Linked DNA regions of Caenorhabditis elegans. The protein of the gene in region 1 interacts with the protein of each later gene in a pairwise test. Each region holds a gene or a part of one and is shown on either strand. Other genes may lie near its edges.

Region 1 (3,136 bases):
AACGTATGTATATTGATGTTGGTTTGGAGGTAATACGTCGGGATTTTGACAGAATATTGTATTTGAAAAACGGGCAAATAAACGGGATTTGATCTGAATTCATTTGACTATAAACTCCAAATCTCAAAAAACGGATGACACAATTGGATACGTCACATAATTGTGATCATGCAAAAGGGAATGATTTTGGGGTTATAGATAGTTTTATTGAAATATTAGCTTTGTAGATAATTAACATGTGAAATTTGATTCAAAATTCTACAAAAGATTACTGTAGATTGAAGAATCGAATTTTCGAGTTATTTCCAGGATTCATATTGTCCCCCTGTGATTTGTGCCCCTGTAATTGCAGTATGTTTATCAAATGATTCTGTTCGCTATAGATATTGTAATTTTTCGCTGTTCACCAATCTAACCAACTATTTAAAAAATTCAGACACCATCTTCCTTGGTGTTAAATTTCTAATGGAGAAGGCAATTCCAACCGAGATATCAGCTGTTTGAGTTTTGTGCAAGCATGGTGCATAGACAAGAAAGAATGGTATAAATTTGGCAACTGAAATGCCGGTTCAATTTAAAAATTTCAGTAAATTTCAAACTGCTATTTCATAGAACTGAAATGCCGGTTCAATTTAAAAATTTCAGTAAATTTCAAACTGCTATTTCATAGAAAAAAGCATAAATCGTTTGAAATAGTTTGATAGTTGACAATTTTTGAGAAAACTTTTTTTTTTTAATAAAGATGGTCAATATATCAGTTGTCAAAGTTGAGAGAAACATGGTGCATCGACAAGAATGCAACAAACAAACTCTGGAAGCGTTTATTTCAGTTCACTACATAGTTTTTATGAAACTTTTTTGAGTAACATATTTTGAAAAACATGTCTTCTTTTTAATATAATGTTTTGTCAGAACTGGAATATTCCAGTGTTCTTCTCTTTTTTGCACATCTTTCAGGCATTCCAAGTAGGTACAAAGACAGACCTATGCCGGAGCTATTTGGTAGGCAGTGACGTAGACAAGCGGTCTCTCTCTTCGTTCGTATCGATACCAATCGATACGGTCCCTCTATAATCCGTCTGTGCATCATTTGCTCTATATAATTGAGTGAGATAGTACTGTAGATTAAGAGAGTGCAGTGCTCAGGTGAAAACGTTCCATCTGCTCCTCTCTTGTATGTTGCAAATGGCAGAAATATGCTCATTTCTTTGTTTTGTTGTTCGTCTTTGCGAGCTAGAACCGATATATTTCTGGAAACATTTATACATTTACATTTGGAAAATAAGTTTAATTTTTGAAAGTTTCCATTAAAGCTTATCGGCTTTATGATAAAATCTCAACTTATCGAAAACTAATTGTATGACTCATACGATATCTAAAACAAATAGAAAACGAGAGTCTTTGCTGTCCTACCACCCAGCAAACTTTCCATCAAAATAACGAAAACTGACCATGACTTTTTTGAAGAAAAAAAGTAATCGGTTTTTAAATAGTTTCGCAATTTCTCACCGACTAATCATTATTGCATGCATAATTTTATAAAAAGCCACGATTTGCAATTGATTCTCATCTTTGCCGTCTTTTGTTCCTCACTTTTCCATCCCTTTTTATTATTTTATCGTTCGTTTTGTTTTTCGCCTCGCTTTATGTGACTTTAATATTTTCACATTTCATCGTTTCCTCTCTTTTTAACTTCCTTCTTGATATTTGATCAGTCTTTTCTTATTATGTAATCTTCGAAAATGTTGAATAGTTCGGTAGAGCGCGACTTCCCACATTACATAATTTCCAGATATTCAAAAATGGCGACAATTATTGCAAAAATCGAGTCAAAAATCAACGAGTATTTGAAAGCAAGAAACAAGGAAGACTGGAAAGAAAAGACTTTCACTCAAGCTGAAAAGTTTTCTGGAATTCCAAGAGAAAGAGTAGGTTATATAATGTCTTAATTAAAAACAATATTTGTTTTCAGATCGTCTCAATGGCATTCCTGATGCTTTCCATCTACGTTCTTCTCGGCAACTTCCTCCCACTCTTCTCTCATATCATTTGCATCTTCTGGCCAGTCAAAGAGAGCTTCATGGTAAATTTCAACTATCTTCATTTTCATTAGAAATCAACTGAACACTCTTACAGATCCTCCGCCAACAGAAGAATCCATCAGACAACATTCTCCTCTATTGGATTCTCTATGCAATGGTTTCACTTTTTGACTATTCTGCTCTTCCTGGAGTCCCATTCTATTACTTCGCTAAAACCGGGCTCTTCCTCTCGATCACCACAAATGGCTTCGATAAACTCAAGGAATGGTCTGAGCCAGCTCTGAAATTCACCGAAACATGGGTTCTGGTGACTCCACCGCCGCCTGGAGAGGAGGAAAACTGAGCTCTCTGAATTTATGGAAATTTACGGAACTGACACTTTGACACGCACGGGATTTTTTTTTGAACATGTTTTTTTTTAAACTGATATAATTTATTTATCACCCAGCCAAATTTACACCGAATTGTATTGCTATCACAAGTGTAAAGAAATCATTGGTTTGTAAATCGAATTCTCAATAAACTCCTCGTTTCTTTCTATCAGCTCCACGTTGCTTGATATCCGACTTGTGTTTCTCTTTCATTTGACGATCATGTCCTCCAGTATATCCATCTGCAGATGGGGCTCCACCACGATTGCCACCTCGGGCTCCACGACCTCCACGTCCACCACGGGATCCTTGATATGGAGGTGGTTGAGATAAACCAGGTGGTGCAGAAGATCCAGCTTCATCCTCTTCTGACGATGTTTCTAGTTCTTGGCTGAAATTAATATTCTCATGATTTTAATTTAAAAGTTGCAGTGCAATATGAATTTAAATCTGACCAAAAACTAACTTTAATCTTTCAATATTGAATTCTCTTCCATCAAACTCATCATCGTATTCATCATCATAAACTCCATTTCCTCCATCATTCGGGGTCTCGTAACGATACTTATTATATGTTGGCCGAATTGCCACTTTATCTGCTTCACTGATTTTTAAGGAGTTCAATGCCGAATACTTTTTCGAAGTCGCAAGAGGAACAAGATTCTCAGCATCAACAGCAATTTTTTCAGAAGGCGATGAGGGTCCAGCAGCATCTGCTCGGAT
Region 2 (4,569 bases), on another chromosome or scaffold:
AATACCTTCAATTTAAAGTTTTGAAAATAAAGTACTTTAGTCCATAAATTTGTGATTTGTGAAGAGATTTCTCAGCAATTGCTCCACGTGTGCTCCGAATATCAAATAGTCCAATTGTTCCATCTCGTCGTCCTGCATATAAGTAATGATGTTTTGATGGATACCACTGTACAACATCAATTGGTTCATCATTCCAATATATCGATTGAGGTAGATCCATTCCGACTCTGAAATGATATTTATTTTGAAATATAAAATGTTAATTAATTTTAATTAAATTTTAAATTTTGAAATAATTCATAAAAATTTAAGACAAGAGGTTCGACCAGGGGAAATTGTAAGACCAAAGTTTTAGAAAGTTAGGCAGTCATAACAAAATATAGCTCTTGTTCAATACAAGATCCACTAGCCTTCAGGCACGTAGGCAGGCATTTCGTGGAACTTTTAAAGCTTACCTAAAATCTATAATTTTCATTGATCTCCCTCCATCTGCCACGGCAACTTTTGAATTTGTCATATTATACTCATTCCAATCAAAATAAACATCTCCTTCAAATTGTTTCCCATGAACCACTTTTTCCATGGTACTATCACAAACTCGCATCCAATTTGATGCTGTTGTAACCATGAAAAGGCGAAGATCGATTGGACACCATTTTATTGTTTTCAGAGATTGCTTCGCAAGTTTTCTGAAATCTTGATAAATTTTAGAATTATTGCGGTTGTTACATACAGAGTCATAGGTTTCTTCCACTTTTTACGATCCAAGTATTTATATTTGGCAACTGACACTGAACCACTATGAGATCCAAATAGTAGCCTGAAAAATCAATTTTTTTTAAACAAACTCCTAATTAAACCAACATTTGGTCACCATCATCTATATCAATCGCACTAATATCTTCTTGATGGCCTTTCCCCGTCTGATCACAACCCATAGGAATATGTTTTGTCCATCGAAAATTCAAAAGAGCCCGTGAAACTTGTTGTTCTTCGAAAACTCGGCGTTTTCTGCAAAAAATTTCAAATATAACTCAAATTTTAAAAAAAATTAGTACAGTAAGAAAATCTAGGCCTGTAAATTCATAAAAGTTTAAAGTCGTTGCGGGACCCGTCTGGTTTTCTGACTCTTGCGCCTTGAAAAAATTGCGGTACTGTCATTTATTTTCTTTATTTGCGCATTTTAACATTAAATTTCTCTATTTTTCTCGTTTGTTTTAAATTTTAATTATGCATTTGCACTTTTTTTTCAAAATTATTACGAAATTCACATAAAAACCGCAAAACTCACTTCAAATCACAGCTGAACATGTACTCCTCGTGACGAACAGTCATTTTCCTGTTGAGAAATTATAGAAACATGCGAATAAATATATTACGATTAAATAAAAAGCTCAAACGTTGCTGTTAATTTGAATATCCTCCTTAAAACAGCCAATGGCCTAGAGTCCACCAAACAAGTTCATTCTCGGCCGCACCGGTTTTCCGTTATTTACCGGGCACTGATTCATCTGTTTCCAGACCGGTTGCAAAATTAGTTTGATAAAAATTTCAATTTCCACAAGGAAATATTTAGTTCAGAAATAGTAACAAAAGTAAAAAAGGTGCAGAAGTGTAAACAAACGGGCGAGAACACGTGGTTTTATCGATTTTTGCTTTAAACATCTGCATTCCGTCCTCTAAACTTTATGTGTCATTTATTGGCATTCAATTTGATTTTCTTTCAGATTTTCAGCCATTATGGCTGCAATAATCAATCAACGCGTCGAACAGGGCGAATCAAGTATGGGAGGAGCCAAACCAGGTTGGTGAATTGAAAACGAACCATTTGATTTCCATAACCTGTGTAATTTTCGAATTTATTTTAATTTTCAGCTCTTCTTCACAGAATCACTGGCCACGTGGCTCGTATCAATGACGTCATTTTACTATCAAAAGACGAAGGAGTCTGGACTGCAAGTGATGATAGATCCGTTCGCCTGTACTTAAAAAGAGATAATGATCAATTTTGGCCGTCAATTCATCATTTCATGCCAGTTGCTCCAACAAGTCTTTATTACAGTGAAGAAACTTATAAGTTAGTTTAAAGTTTAAATCGTTTTATTTTTTAAATTTTTAATTTTTTTATTCAGGCTGCTCGTCGGACTTATCAATGGAAATGTCTATGAATTCAGTGTTGCCGATGACTTTAACAGTATGACAGAATCCCGAAAATGGACATGTCACGCTGGACCAATCTCTGGACTCGGCTTTGCACTCTCCTCCGAGCTCATTTTCAGCTGTTCTCGAGATAAATCTATCGTCTGGCATTGTTCAGAAAATTCAAATAAGATGGGAAGTTATCTTTTGGAAAATAGTTGTACAGCAATGGTCATTGATCTTCCATTTGTATTCGTTGGAGATCATGGTGGGCATGTCACTGTTCTTCGTATTGTCGATAATCAACCAAATCTTGTCAGCAAGCTTAGTGCACATACGAGTGAGTTTTTATCGTATTCTTTTTTTTTGAGTAAAATATTAATTCGAAATTTTAAATGCTATCGTGCCTAGGAAAAATATTTGTTAAGTATAACATTCCAGTATTTCCTGAAATTCCCCACAATCAATACAATTAGTAATTGTGGTTTGAATTAGTTCAATGATTTTTCAGATGCAATCACCTCGCTCACATGGGACGGAAATAAGAAAGTTTTGTATTCTGGAAGCAGTGATCATCTCATCATAATGTGGGATATCGGAGGAGGAAGAGGAGAAGCTTATGAGCTTAAGTGAGTGTATATTTCTGGAATTTACGTGATATTTCGAAAGTGTTGATGTTTTTCGAGCGCAAAAGTTGAATTATATTTAGTTGAAATAGATTTTTCCAAATTAAAAAATGTTTTTTTCAGCGGACACAATGGAAAAGTGACAACACTATGCGCAGCTCCAGCAGCCAAACGTCTGTTCTCGGCTGACGAACACGGAAAGCTCATGTGCTGGGACATGAATTGCAAGAGAGTTGAGACTCCTGAATGGAAAACTTCGGATTGCTGTCAGAAATGCAATCAACCGTTCTTCTGGAATCTTCAAGCAATGTGGCAGAGGAAAGTGGTCGGATTGAGACAACATCACTGCAGAACCTGTGGATCAGCAGTCTGTGGATCTTGCTGTGACAACTGGACCACCTATCCACCAATGGGATATGAGACGAAAATTCGCATTTGTAATGACTGCAATGCACGAATGAAAGATAATCCACAGAATTTCAAGTAAGTTGTAAAGCAAATGACTGATGAAACTTATTTTCAATTTTAGCCTTACTCCACTTGCAATTCCACATGAAATCCATACTGGAATCACTGCTATGCATCTCCAGGAAACTCTCGGACTTCTAGTTACCAGTGGACAGAATCGTGTGATTATGATTTGGGATGTTCGAAGTGTTTGCTCTGCCCCTTCTGGATCACAATAAACAATTGCTTCTACTTCTCGAATTTCTCATAATTCTTTGTATTTCATCTAATTTATTTCCTCTCCTTTCTATTTTGTATATTCACTCTCAAAATGCCCATCCTTCCCCAAGACCAATTGTTGTCAAATCAAGACCTTCTAAAACTTACCAATATTTCCCGATACCCCTGACAGGTTGTCCTGAATAGTGATTGTGATTCTTACTTTTCTTCTAATCCCGATAATTTCCTAGTTTTTCGACTGTAAAATTGTATTTTTACAACAAAGTTTGAAAAAAAATCTTTTTTTTTGAAGTTTTTGGACAGAACGACTAGAAATTATTTCAAAAGAATGCATGCCGGGAGAGTAGGTGAGGTTGGTGACACTGGATGAAGGAGAAAGCTCACAGGAAGTACACAAAATAGCTGAGTTTTTGATGTTTATAAGAACGCTACGCGAAATTATGACTACGGGGAAAATTAAAAAATTGAGGAGAAATTATCAACATCCGCAAGCTCCTGCGCTGCTGTTTTGAGGGAAACTTCTTTCGGATAGGCACACGGATTGTGACCTCATAATACCAGTTTTAAGGCCTTCCCAGCCATCCACGGGCCGCAGTTCTCCGTCGTCGACTCGATTTTGAATCTAAAAATTTGAAAATTACATCATAAAATTGAAACATTTTCAAAAAAACCTCTTGTGCAATCATATGAAAAGCTTCATTAACATTGTCTCCTGTTCTCGACGACGTCTCGATAAACTTCATTTTATGGTACTTGGCAAAGTACTCGCCTTCCTCATAGTTTACCTGAAAGCTTTTAACCAATTTTTTAAACACAACTTTTGTTCAAAAATTACCTGTCGCTGTGAATCCATATCACTTTTTGTTCCGACTAATTGGAAGACACACTTCGATGGGCTTGGACCACCCAAATTTAATGCTGCTTCTTTAACCCAATTTTCAACATGCTCAAAACTTTCTCGATTCGTTGTGTCGTAGATTGCAAGGACTCCAACAGAATTCCGATAGTAGGATTTTGTAATTGATCTAAAAATATTTTTTTTAATCAGCTAATATTCTTTTTAAAAAAATCCACATACCTGAATTTTTCCTGTCCTGCTGTATCCCATAGTTGCAAT

What was found.
Region 2: the proteins of C06E1.1 (region 1) and wdfy-2 interact in binary tests that used the Caenorhabditis elegans proteins (3 or more experiments, as listed by UniProt).

What each region holds. Positions count from the first base shown.
Region 1 is NC_003281.10:8,604,042-8,607,177, forward strand, and holds C06E1.1 (HVA22/TB2/DP1 family protein), read left to right. Parts: upstream 1-1,790; 5' UTR 1,791-1,802; coding exon 1,803-1,928; intron 1,929-1,972; coding exon 1,973-2,083; intron 2,084-2,136; coding exon 2,137-2,385; 3' UTR 2,386-2,557; downstream 2,558-3,136. Other genes in the region: C06E1.9 (ASCC2 family CUE domain-containing protein), read right to left, coding at 2,558-2,804, 2,880-3,136.
Region 2 is NC_003280.10:9,318,138-9,322,706, forward strand, and holds wdfy-2 (WD repeat and FYVE domain-containing protein 2), read left to right. Parts: upstream 1-1,727; 5' UTR 1,728-1,740; coding exon 1,741-1,804; intron 1,805-1,875; coding exon 1,876-2,077; intron 2,078-2,132; coding exon 2,133-2,479; intron 2,480-2,650; coding exon 2,651-2,768; intron 2,769-2,888; coding exon 2,889-3,248; intron 3,249-3,294; coding exon 3,295-3,451; 3' UTR 3,452-3,741; downstream 3,742-4,569. Other genes in the region: csa-1 (WD_REPEATS_REGION domain-containing protein), read right to left, coding at 36-227, 456-689, 734-820, 865-1,011, 1,292-1,335; Ras-related protein rab-39, read right to left, coding at 3,931-4,074, 4,124-4,237, 4,288-4,477, 4,531-4,569. UniProt on the Caenorhabditis elegans protein: Plays a role in coelomocyte endocytosis.